Drosophila melanogaster: one gene and its partner. The protein of the gene in region 1 interacts with the protein of each later gene in a pairwise test. Each region holds a gene or a part of one and is shown in the gene's direction. Other genes may lie near its edges. The genes, in order: ninaC and ssp.

What was found.
Region 2: the proteins of ninaC (region 1) and ssp interact in a two-hybrid assay, tested with the Drosophila melanogaster proteins (one large-scale study listed by BioGRID).

What each region holds. Positions count from the first base shown.
Region 1 is NT_033779.5:7,376,187-7,384,668, forward strand, and holds ninaC (neither inactivation nor afterpotential C), read left to right. Parts: upstream 1-1,515; 5' UTR 1,516-1,679; intron 1,680-2,198; 5' UTR 2,199-2,214; coding exon 2,215-2,502; intron 2,503-2,597; coding exon 2,598-3,461; intron 3,462-3,519; coding exon 3,520-4,457; intron 4,458-4,525; coding exon 4,526-4,818; intron 4,819-4,877; coding exon 4,878-5,149; intron 5,150-5,216; coding exon 5,217-5,503; intron 5,504-5,569; coding exon 5,570-5,719; intron 5,720-5,774; coding exon 5,775-5,872; intron 5,873-5,935; coding exon 5,936-5,989; coding exon of another isoform or gene 5,990-6,153; exon of another isoform or gene 6,154-6,571; coding exon 6,572-6,759; intron 6,760-6,824; coding exon 6,825-7,240; intron 7,241-7,292; coding exon 7,293-7,569; intron 7,570-7,620; coding exon 7,621-8,001; 3' UTR 8,002-8,158; downstream 8,159-8,482. Other genes in the region: Wnt10 (Wnt oncogene analog 10), read left to right, coding at 886-1,073. UniProt on the Drosophila melanogaster protein: Required for photoreceptor cell function. The ninaC proteins combines putative serine/threonine-protein kinase and myosin activities. Essential for the expression and stability of the rtp protein in the photoreceptors.
Region 2 is NT_037436.4:12,115,978-12,120,639, forward strand, and holds ssp (sunspot), read left to right. Parts: upstream 1-2,279; 5' UTR 2,280-2,337; coding exon 2,338-2,649; intron 2,650-2,710; coding exon 2,711-2,934; intron 2,935-2,994; coding exon 2,995-3,565; 3' UTR 3,566-3,812; downstream 3,813-4,662. Other genes in the region: vers (versatile), read left to right, coding at 255-482, 787-1,193, 1,267-1,394, 1,460-1,872; CG11560 (uncharacterized protein), read left to right, coding at 4,105-4,611.

The sequences.
Region 1 (8,482 bases):
CTCAGCTTAGCTTAGCTCAGTTTGGATCGGATCGGATTGGATTGGTTCGGATCAGCTCAACTCAGTTTGGATTGTATAAAGCAGTGGCGGAGACTGAAAATCTGAGGGGGGTTCTTATTTGACATTCTTAAAATAAAGGTTTTTGATATGTTATCTAAACTACAATTGGCCGAAACATACTAAAAGAAAATCGTTACTTTTTATGCTTGGAAATGAGTTTGGGTTAATTGTATCCCCTCATTTCTCCCCCCTTGCTTGTACTCTGGCTTGGGGGATCGGTCGAAACTGCGGCACGTTCACATCGAAATCGACGTCTAACTGCCACTTGCAATTTTCGTTAGCCATTTTGCTGTTGACACATTTGCAAATTATCAAGCGTCGCTGCTGCCCCGCCAACTGCCAGCAGTTTAAAAGTGTTAATTACGACGCAAATTTATAATTAATCGTCGGCTTAGCCCGGTAACTCCAGCTTCACTTCAAGCTCCAACTCAGGCTCCAACAGCAGTGAACTGGGGAGCAGCCAGCCCATCGGGCGTTTTGATTCATGTGTCCGTGTCCGGTGTCGTGTCTATTCAAATGATAGCAATTAACGCTGGCAATTATCGTCGGCCAAACAATTATGATACTTTGTTTGTGCTTTAGTTTAATAGTTTATTTATGGTCTTTTAATTGCTTGTCCGCCAGTAGGCGGGATTAACTGCCATTTGGCGATGGATTGCATTTGATGAGAACACTTAATCATTTGCTAATTACGCAAATCTTACACCACTAATTTTATTAACTTGTTATTTTTATATTTTAATAGATACCACATAATTTTCTTTTCTGATGATTATATCTTTAGAAAAACATAAACATGACTAATCTGAGCCAATTTCCGCACAGGCACCGTGGGACGCAAGTGCAATCGGAACACCACGACCAGCGACGGATGCACCTCCCTCTGCTGTGGCCGTGGCCACAGCCAGGTCATCCAGCGGAGGGCGGAGCGGTGTCACTGTAAATTCCAATGGTGCTGTAATGTGGAGTGCGAGGAGTGCCACGTAGAGGAATGGATTAGCATATGCAATTAAGGACAATGGACGCAAGACGAAGGACGATGAAGTGATGGAGCGATGGAGCCTCAGCCACATGCATAAGAAAAGACTTTTCTTCATTCTCACAGAACTTAACACACAAAGAAATCAGTATTACAGAAAAAAAAACATAAAGTACGCAATAGGGCAAACATCAATAAACAACGTGTGTGAATGCAATGCCTAGTTTAGCAATCTCCAGCCATTTGGAATACGTATAAATATATTTTGTAAATACGAACAATAAGATGCATAATTAGTCTGTCAATCAGCTGACTTTCACTCGCATTGCCAATTTCCCTTTCACCTCGGCATTTTGGCCATCTGTGTCGCCGCTTTTTTCACTTGCACGTGAATGTCGCCGCCGCTAATTGAATTAGCCAGCTAAATAGTTGTCCAAGGTGTGCACCCAGGTACTGCCCATTGAATGGCTTCCTTCCTTGCCAGTGAAAAGCCTCCGATTGCATTGGCCCATCATTTAGTTGGCTAACGGCAGCGGTACGTGCTGCATGCGTGCGGTCGGTTCGAAGTTCCACACAAGTACATCCTTGCAACCAAAAATACACAGCTGCAGGATAAGTGTGCCAATCTGCGGCAGCGAAGGTGTGTCCTGAAGGATTAAGTGTTTGAAGCCCTGTGAAGTGGATATAATACAAATAACCCCCTAGAATCCCTTTATCCAAAGTTGCTGATTCAAAATACAAACCTAGGAAGGATTAATTACCAAGGATAAATCGTACATTTAACTTTTTCGTTTTCACATGAATTATTTAAGTGTTTTATAGAAAATGGTTTTATTATAATTTTACATTTCAAAATTGCATCTTATTTGTTTAAAGGTCCTTGAAATCTTTCGTGCTTGCAAAGCAAACATTCCAAAATATCCTTACGTTAAGTAAACCAAAGTAACTTAACTTTCACCTTTAAAGAAAAAGCAAATTGTTATTAGAAGCAAAAGATTACAATGAAACCTCTAGAATGCCCATTCTTAAGTGTTTTGCAACAATGAACCCAAATATAATGCGATTTGCATGAGGGAAAATTGAAAAAGAAAACCTTTGAAGCCCATTTTATGATAGACCCAATTCCCAAGTTTAACCCACATGTTCTTCGAATATTCAGAATAAGCATCTAAGTCATGATGTATTTACCGTACGCGCAATTGCCGGATCCTACGGATAAATTCGAGATCTACGAGGAGATAGCCCAAGGCGTCAATGCCAAGGTTTTTCGGGCCAAGGAGCTCGACAATGATCGGATCGTTGCCCTGAAGATTCAGCACTACGATGAGGAGCACCAGGTTTCCATCGAGGAGGAGTATCGCACTCTGCGGGACTACTGCGACCATCCCAATCTTCCCGAGTTCTATGGCGTCTACAAGCTGTCGAAGCCAAACGGACCTGATGAGATCTGGTTTGTCATGGAGGTGAGTCAAAACATTTTGTTAATATTTTATTAAATTTTTTCCAAAAATTTAAATCCAATTTTTTGTAATTTATATAAACCATTTGAATATTTCAGTACTGCGCTGGGGGAACAGCAGTGGACATGGTTAACAAGCTTTTGAAACTGGATCGTCGAATGCGAGAGGAGCACATCGCCTACATTATCCGGGAGACTTGCCGTGCTGCCATCGAGCTGAACCGTAATCATGTCCTGCATCGGGACATTCGGGGAGATAACATATTGTTGACCAAAAATGGACGGGTCAAGCTGTGCGATTTCGGTTTATCCCGTCAGGTGGATTCCACTCTGGGCAAGAGGGGCACCTGCATTGGATCTCCCTGCTGGATGGCTCCCGAAGTGGTGTCCGCCATGGAATCCCGCGAACCGGACATCACCGTTCGTGCCGATGTCTGGGCCTTGGGAATCACTACCATTGAGTTGGCCGATGGAAAGCCACCGTTCGCTGACATGCATCCCACTAGGGCCATGTTCCAGATCATTCGCAATCCACCGCCGACCTTAATGCGACCCACTAATTGGTCGCAGCAGATCAATGATTTTATATCCGAGAGTTTGGAGAAAAATGCCGAAAATCGGCCCATGATGGTTGAGATGGTGGAGCATCCATTCCTCACGGAGCTCATCGAAAACGAGGACGAGATGCGATCGGACATCGCAGAAATGTTGGAACTCTCTAGGGATGTAAAGACTTTGTACAAGGAGCCGGAATTGTTCGTGGACCGCGGCTATGTGAAGAGGTTCGATGAGAAGCCGGAAAAGATGTATCCGGAGGACTTGGCTGCCTTGGAAAATCCCGTGGATGAAAACATAATCGAGTCACTGCGTCATCGCATTTTGATGGGGGAATCGTACAGTTTCATTGGCGATATCCTTTTATCCTTGAATTCCAATGAAATCAAGCAGGAATTTCCGCAGGAGGTAAGTTGAAAACATCTAATATGTATACTTAAATATGTTATATTTATCCTTTCTCTAGTTCCATGCCAAGTATCGCTTCAAGTCGCGTTCGGAAAACCAGCCGCATATTTTCTCGGTGGCCGATATCGCCTACCAGGATATGCTGCATCATAAGGAGCCGCAACACATCGTGCTCTCCGGAGAGAGCTACTCGGGCAAGTCCACAAATGCCCGGCTGCTAATCAAGCATCTGTGCTACTTGGGTGATGGAAATCGTGGGGCCACCGGGCGCGTGGAGAGCTCCATCAAGGCCATCCTGATGTTGGTGAATGCAGGAACTCCGGTAAACAACGACTCCACAAGATGTGTCCTACAATATTGCTTGACCTTTGGAAAAACCGGCAAAATGAGTGGGGCCGTTTTTAATATGTATATGCTGGAGAAACTACGAGTGGCCACTACGGACGGAACCCAGCACAACTTCCACATCTTCTACTACTTCTACGACTTTATTAATCAGCAAAATCAGCTTAAGGAGTACAATCTGAAGGCTGATCGCAATTATCGTTATCTGCGAGTTCCGCCAGAGGTTCCGCCATCGAAACTCAAGTATCGTCGTGATGATCCCGAGGGCAATGTGGAGAGGTACAGGGAGTTCGAGAACATCCTGCGGGACATTGATTTCAATCACAAGCAATTGGAGACCGTTCGCAAAGTTTTGGCTGCCATTTTGAACATTGGCAACATCCGTTTCCGGCAGAACGGAAAGTATGCGGAAGTGGAGAACACGGACATTGTGTCCCGGATCGCCGAGCTCCTCCGTGTGGATGAGAAAAAGTTCATGTGGTCTCTGACCAACTTCATTATGGTCAAGGGCGGGATCGCCGAGAGGCGACAGTACACCACTGAAGAAGCTAGGGATGCACGCGATGCGGTGGCCAGCACGCTCTACTCTCGATTGGTGGACTTTATCATCAACAGGATTAACATGAACATGTCCTTCCCACGGGCTGTGTTGTAAGTAATATTAAAAAAAAAGTTACAAATTCATAAGTTTAACAATGTGGCTTAAATAACTTTTTAAGCGGAGACACAAATGCCATCATTATTCACGACATGTTTGGATTTGAGTGCTTTAATCGAAATGGTCTGGAGCAACTAATGATCAATACTCTAAACGAGCAAATGCAATATCACTACAATCAACGTATTTTTATCAGCGAAATGCTGGAAATGGAAGCTGAAGACATTGACACCATCAACTTGAATTTCTATGACAACAAGACAGCTCTGGATAATCTGCTAACCAAACCGGATGGCCTGTTCTACATCATTGACGATGCCTCACGCTCCTGTCAAGATCAGGATTTGATTATGGGTATACAACCAATTCTGGCACCACTTTGGATATGTGATTTAACCACTTTCCATCTACAGATCGCGTTTCGGAGAAGCACAGCCAGTTTGTGAAGAAGCACACTGCCACTGAAATATCCGTGGCTCATTACACGGGCCGCATCATCTATGATACGCGCGCCTTCACCGACATCAACCGGGACTTTGTGCCGCCGGAAATGATCGAGACCTTCCGCTCCTCGCTGGATGAGAGCATCATGCTCATGTTCACCAATCAACTGACCAAGGCTGGCAATCTCACCATGCCATTCGAGGCAGTGCAGCATAAGGATGAATCTGAACGGAAGTCATATGTAAGTCTGTCACAGTTTTTATTAGCTAACCTAAATTTGGTATATTTTTGTAAACTATGCATTTCAGGCCTTGAATACCCTAAGTGCCGGATGCATCTCCCAAGTGAACAATCTACGTACCCTGGCGGCCAACTTCCGCTTCACCTGCCTGACCCTGCTCAAAATGCTAAGCCAGAATGCAAATCTCGGCGTGCACTTCGTTCGCTGCATTCGCGCTGATCTGGAGTACAAGCCCAGATCCTTCCACTCGGATGTCGTCCAGCAACAGATGAAGGCCTTGGGAGTTCTGGACACTGTTATTGCTCGCCAGAAGGGATTCAGCTCGCGTCTGCCATTCGACGAGTTCCTAAGGCGGTGGGTAATCGATTCCATTCCAGTTTCCATTTAAAGATTTCTAAATATTTAAAATATTCGTATTAGATACCAATTCCTTGCCTTTGACTTTGATGAGCCCGTGGAAATGACCAAGGATAACTGTCGTCTATTATTCTTGCGCCTCAAGATGGAAGGCTGGGCCTTGGGCAAGACCAAGGTGTTTTTGCGCTACTATAACGATGAGTTCTTAGCCAGGTGAGCTATCAATTCATACGCATTGAGAAAAGCAAGTACTATCAATTGCTTTCAGATTGTATGAGCTGCAGGTGAAGAAGGTCATCAAAGTGCAGTCCATGATGCGAGCTTTGCTAGCACGGAAACGAGTTAAGGGCGGCAAAGTTTTCAAATGTAAGATATAAATAATACTTATACAGTATATGGTATGAAATCTAATTTTAAATTCCCTATTAGTGGGCAAAAAGGGACCGGAGCATCATGATGTGGCCGCGTCCAAAATACAAAAAGGTAAAAAAACGCAGGTGGATAGGCTAAGAGAGTACGACGAGGAGCACATCGACATAAGCGAGACGCCCTCGGAGGCGGAGGAGATGTTCCTCGAGGCCAGAATGGATGAGGCTCTGGCAGCGGTGCGAATAGCCAAAATCGAGCAGGCCTCCGCCGAGGAATAGGCCCCTACTATATACCATTTATACACACTATATCACTATATCGATCGATACTAATCGTAATACGACTACCAATAAAATGTAGAAAACGCAAACAACCAGCTATCATCTAGTCTAGGGCCTCGGCAAACCACTTAAGCCGCTTAGTGGTGTCCAATGTGGATACCATCCCACCCCATCCCGCTGGGCGGTTGTGTTCTCCATCTGATGCAACCAATCGGCTTATAGCTGTCTGAGACATAACACTTAACATCGACGGCCCCTGCGAAAAGAGATGAATTATAAGTGCTGCGTAGAAAAGAAATGAAAATTTAATTAAATTAAGGTGACTTCCCTCTCATTCACCACCACCGTCCACCGCCGCGACCGCTTTTCAAATGGGTTACTCTAACGGCCTTCCTCCGTTTCCATTTTCCCACAGCCTTCAGGGGATTCCGCGACCGCGTCCGCCTCCCTCCGCTGGTCAACGAGAAGTCCGGCCAACTAAACGAGAACACCGCCGACTTTATCCGTCCGTTTGCCAAGAAATGGCGCGAGAAGTCTATCTTCCAGGTCCTCCTGCACTACCGCGCGGCTCGCTTCCAGGACTTTGTCAATCTCTCACAGCAGGTGAGTTCAAATCTCTTATCTTCAAATCCAATATATATATATATATATATTATATTATGTACCAGGTCCACATCTACAACCAACGAATGGTGGCTGGCTTGAATAAATGTACTCGGGCTGTGCCCTTCGAGAGGATCAATATGCGCGAAGTGAACTCCTCGCAGCTAGGACCACTGCCAGTGCCCATAAAAAAGATGCCATTCCGCCTGGATCAGATACCCTTCTATGACACCCAGTATATGGTGGACCCGGCCAATTCCATTTCCCGCCAAGCCTTCCCCAATCAGCTACTAACGCAGCACATGGAGGACGATGAGCCTTGGGACAGCCCTCTGCAACGCAATCCTTCGATGACTTCTTGTGCCCTGACCTACAATGCCTATAAGAAGGAGCAGGCTTGCCAGACCAACTGGGATCGCATGGGCGAGAGCGACAATATCTACAATCAGGGCTACTTCCGAGATCCCCAACAGCTGAGGAGGTTAGCAAAGATACTCAAAGGTTGAACTTAAGTTTCTAACACTTTTTTTCAGAAATCAAATGCAGATGAACATGAATGCCTATAACAATGCCTACAACAGCTATAACAGCAACTATAACAACCAGAACTGGGGCGTACATCGATCCGGATCCAGGCGCAACTCCTTGAAGGGCTATGCGGCGCCTCCACCTCCTCCTCCACCAATGCCCTCATCCAACTATTATCGCAATAATCCGAACCAGCAGCAACGCAACTATCAGCAAAGATCCTCGTATCCTCCGTCGGATCCAGTTAGAGAACTTCAGAACATGGCTCGCAACGAGGGTGATGTAAGTGTATGTCAATTTCCTAAGGAAATTCTTCAGATATTTTCTTTCCAGAACTCTGAGGATCCACCATTCAACTTCAAGGCTATGCTGCGCAAGACTAACTATCCGAGGGGATCCGAGACCAACACCTATGACTTTAACAATCGCCGCGGATCGGACAGTGGTGACCAACACACGTTCCAGCCGCCCAAGCTACGCTCGACAGGTCGCCGGTACCAAGACGATGAGGGCTATAATTCATCATCGGGAAACTATGGTGTGTCTAGGAAGTTTGGCCAGCAGCAGAGGGCTCCGACCTTGAGACAATCTCCAGCCAGCGTGGGTCGCAGCTTCGAAGATAGCAATGCTAGATCCTTCGAGGAGGCAGGATCCTATGTAGAAGAGGAGATTGCACCTGGAATCACTCTTTCAGGCTATGCCGTCGATATCTAAAACTAGTGATTAAGAGTAAAAATATTAAAATTAATTGTTATGCAAACCATAAGACAATTTAGCTAAAACCCACCTAAAATTCCAAAATAATGATTGAAGTTTTCTTCATCACTTTCTCAAAAACGTTTCACACAATGGAATAAATAAAATGTCTTGGGATAAATCGTTATTTAAATTTTCACTTTTTTCTTACCGCATTTCATTTTTCTATCTCTATAAACCACTTAATTATTTAGGTTATTTGTAGGTAAATGCTACCTTGGCATACTCAAACATTTAACTTTAAAGACATTGATATAAATTCAGCAATTAATTTGCATTTTATTGACGTAGGATAAAAATGGGAAAAATTCGACGAATTAACATTGCTTATTATGCTTGCTTCTTTGTTACATCATTTAAATGATTTACTTTTCTCACTTTAAGATCTAAAACGCAACAACAATACTCTCAGTATTTCATAAACTATATCCATTATACA
Region 2 (4,662 bases), on another chromosome or scaffold:
AAAAACTTTTAAATTGCCCGCCATTTTAACCAGGGCTGCGTATTAATGTTAAATTATCGATAAGCCAAACCAATAAACAGTGTTCAAAAACTTCACTAACTGCAACAATCGATATTACTGCACATCTATCGACTCTTGTTGCATCTCTAGGACAACAGGAACAGGAATTACAAAAGATATTTTTCCACCAATTATCAAAATAAAAACACAACAATTCACGCTATCTAGCGCTGGACACAAAAGACCGCAACGTAATGCCGTCCAGAAATATTGACGATGCCGCCGGCGCCAAGGAGGTTCACCGAAGTACAAGGAATTCACTGATCGGCCCGAAGAGCAAGCGAATCGCCCTAAACAGTCGCAATCGCAGTCTTGCTGCCGCCGAAAAGAAAACTCAGTCGCAGCTGTCATTCCCGCCAAAATCGGAGTACGAGAAGTTCTACGAGACCGTCTTCCTGGCGGAGGATTTGCAGCCGGAGGAAGTGAGTCCATCGCCCCACATGGGTTGTTGGGGTACTTACCCGGTTTTACCGAGTACAGCCACACACCAAATATCTTGTTTACCTATCCCACATGGGTGGCAATAGACCTGTTTACCTTTTCATAATGTGTTTTGGCACTACAAAGCGAGATTCGTTAAAACATGTGATAGGATATCAAATTTGACCTAATTTCTGTATGAAAGTCCACTTCAGTTACATAGTCCAACATGGACCACTAGCGAACATACTAAAATTCTAATTAATCACTCAGTAACCATGCTTCTAAACCAACTAACTCTTCTAGAATATAACACCAGAACGTCGTAAGCCAGGACCGCGCATGAAGAGCTCACTCCAAGCCCTGTTGAGCGATGAAGGATCACCGACGGGACCACAGCGAACCGCCAAGATAAACGTTGCACAGAAAATGGTCGTTGAGCCAGCGATCCGAGCCAATGGCATCTCGCCATTGCCCAAGAATGTTGGCAAGGAGGAAAAGTTTGAGGACTACTATACGAAAACGGAGCGACACGTTTGGAAAAAGGATGCGGAGAAGATGTTGCTGCAACTGTGGGCACAGCATTTGAAGGATTTTCGTGGAGAGTCCAAGAATGTGATCATCTACCGGCAAATGGCTAGGGAGATGAGTCAGTTTGGGCCCAGCCACACGGAGCTTAAAACCAAAATGGACAATTTGTCGCGAAAGTATAGGTGCGCTCTTATATTTTGCATACCAAAAGTTTTTATTTTTATAGTATATTAACTTTTATATTGGTATTTACAGAATAGAAGCTGAGAGAGTTCGGGAAACTGGAGTGCCATCCAAGTGGGAGCACTTTCATAAGCTTCAAGCACTTCTGATTGGCACGAAATCAGTTGATGTCTTCGAAGATATTACCGCCGAAAATCCAGGTAAAGTCGTAGTGCAATAAATGCTAGTTATGTCATTATGTCTTAAAAATACGCTAATTTTACAGCTCAAGCTTTGTTCAGCGATGAGGATTATGAGCCTGAGGAATTGTCTTCATTAAAAGACGAGCCTATGGCCGGGGACGATGGGAACGTATTCGAAAGTGATATGGTTGCTAGCAAAGCCATGAAAAGAACGCGAACTCCCTCTCCCAGTATTCCGGAAATCCCGGAAGAAGACGAGGAGGAGGAGGAGGAGGAGGAGGATGATGACCACATGAAGGATCTCTCCCCATCGCCAATTTCAAAATGTCAGACAAAACGGAAAGCATCGAACAACCATTCGGACAGACTCCTTGAAATAGAGGAGGAAAAACTGGCGATCGAGCGAGAAAAGCTGCAGGTTATGAAGGATGCACTGCTGGAGCTAAACGCATTTCACAAAGATATTGTTTATTTGCTTAAGCATAACAATCAGTAGTGTAAATATTAAGTGTTATACGTAGAAGTAGCGTGGTGTTACTTTTTCAGCAAAATATACAACTAAAACAGTGAATATTTAATGTAATATTGCTTCAACTTCAAATTAATCTAAATATATATATATATATTGTAAAAAGCTAGATTTTGCATTGTTATGATCTTACAAATTAGTTTCTTAAGTAAAAATAAATGCAATGAAATTATATTTTACTTTTTTTAGCAAAACTTTAATTACTTACTTTACTTTAATATTATAAATTTGTTTTAAATCGTATTTGTTACATTTAGTTTCTCAATTCGTAAAATGTTTTTTTATTTGTATTTTAGATATAATTTAAATCGATATCATAGAACTATCGATAGATATATGAAGCCAATACCGACCATTTCTAGAAAAATCGATATCGAGCTGCTGCCCATCTCTAGGCACATTTTGTTTATACTTTTCGAGCGTAAGGACGACATGATTGAGGCCCGCACGATGCAGGACGTATCAAAATTCGAATCCAACCAGGTGATCTCGGCGAAGGTGCTCCGCGGCGAGTACCGGCTACTACGACGCAAGCAGCGCGGCTCCGTGTGGAAGGTGTATCGGGAAATCGTGCGCACCGATGGTGCCATAATCAATGGACTCTACTTCTGCACGGGCTGCAAGCGCGTCATGCGATCCTTCAACACGTCCAATCTGCGCACCCACAAGTGCCATGTGGACTACCTGCGTACCGAGGAACTGTGCGAGGAGGGGATCGCGGAAATCCATCCCCCTAAACTAGACGTACGTACAACGACGCCATTAGAAGTCAATAGTAGTCCAAATTACCATGTCTCACTTGCAGGATTCGTTGGAGCGCCGCCTGAGCTGGAACTCCTTTCAGCCGTCCGAGTGGTCATTCCACGCGGTCGAACTGCTGCTCGAGCTTTGGGCAAGGCACTGCGTCGATTTGCGAGACTCACGCAAGCGGGTCCAGGTTATCTGGAAAATGACGGGCGAGATGAAGTCACTGGGTTTCACGTTCACGGAGATAAAGAACAAAATTGATGACATGGGCCAACAGTATCGGTAATAAGTGAATATACTTATTTAAGCATATTCCTTATCTAATATTACAATTTATTTCAGGCGAGAATCGCACATGGAAAAGACAACTGGACACAAATCCCAGTGGGAATACTTCGAGACCATGAAGATGATATTTAGTTCCGATCGTAACATAATTGACAATATGCCTCTGGATAAGTCTGGAAGTGCACCCAATACGACCAGCGAACACAATTCATTTGGCAGTCAACTTGACGAACCATTGATAGATAGGAACTACTTAAGGTCCCAAAAAGTACACCCTGGAGAAGGGGATAGCTTCGATATGAACGAATATGCGGATGAAGCACAAGAAGACGTGGATGAACTGCGTATTCTGAAGGATAACATAATCAGGGAAATCGAAGAGTCGTCCACAGTTCATTCCCAGGAAAACTATGAAGACGAGCTCGATCAACAGAATTCCAAGACCGAGGACATGAAAATTGCTAAGCGTCAAAGAGCTGCCAGAATTATGGAAATAGAGGAGGAAAAGCTGGTCATAGAGAGGAAAAAATGCAAACTGATGAAATTTTTCGTGCGAGAGATGTCGTCGTTTCATAAGGACTTCATGGATCTTCTATCTAATCCCAAAGGCGGCGCACATGCATAAATACCTGTTCGCGATTTGAGTGATTGCACAATAAAGTTCATTTCCACCGTTATTAACGTAAACTTAAAAGGCATCACATTCAACGAATTTTTAAAAAAATCATGTAACAGAAAGTTTAAATATCTCATTTCGGCAGTCACTCAATTTTTTATTTCAAATACGAATAAGTATAAAATGATTTGTGATTCATTGCGTTTTATTACAATTCAGCAGATATGTTTAAGATTTAATAAAATGAAGTCGTAATATCTTCGCCGTTTATATAATTTATTTATATATAAACCATGTATATCTGAAATTTGAAACGAAAAGTAGTGAAATAACTATTAATTTGATTGGTTTTAGAATATTTGTTGTAGATGACATTATATGTATTTTATTTTTTTAATTGTGTGGTTAATATTTTTTCTTTTCCTATTAAATTAAATTCGATACATGGTATTACATAGAATGTCGATATCGATTGTAATCGAACATCGCAACCAACTCACCGGTGATGCCACCTGGTTCGGAGCTCTGTGTTTTTAATTTTTTTTACTATGACCATAAGGATTGCGAGGCGAAATATGTTTTTCATACACGCCCCCGAGGAGGAGAAGTGCATGGAGGCGCAGCTGGACATCCTTATGAAGATCAACTCCGGTGAATATCGGCTGGTGAAGAAGAACAAGCGCAGTTCCGTTTGGAACGTCTACCGGGAAATCGCTCGTCCGGACGGCACCAAGTTGAAATGGCGATACTTCTGCATGGGCTGCAAGCGTGTGATGCAGAGCACCGGCGGCACCACCTCCAATCTGCGCATCCACAAGTGCCACGTACGGTATATCAAGCAGAACGGCCATCTCACCGACGGCAGTCACTCCTACGACCATGATCCCGCGCCACCAGCTAGCCAACCGTCGCCGCGCGTCCAGAAACCGAAGACCAGGCGGCCGACATCCTATTCTACGCAGTGTGAGCAGTTCTATGAGGTCACCATGGATCCGGAGACCCAGTACAGCGATCTGGATGATGAGATTGAGGCTTCTTTGGAGGAGGAGCAGACTGTAAGTACTGCACTTTTATACCCATACAAGTCAAGCTGAAACTACATAATT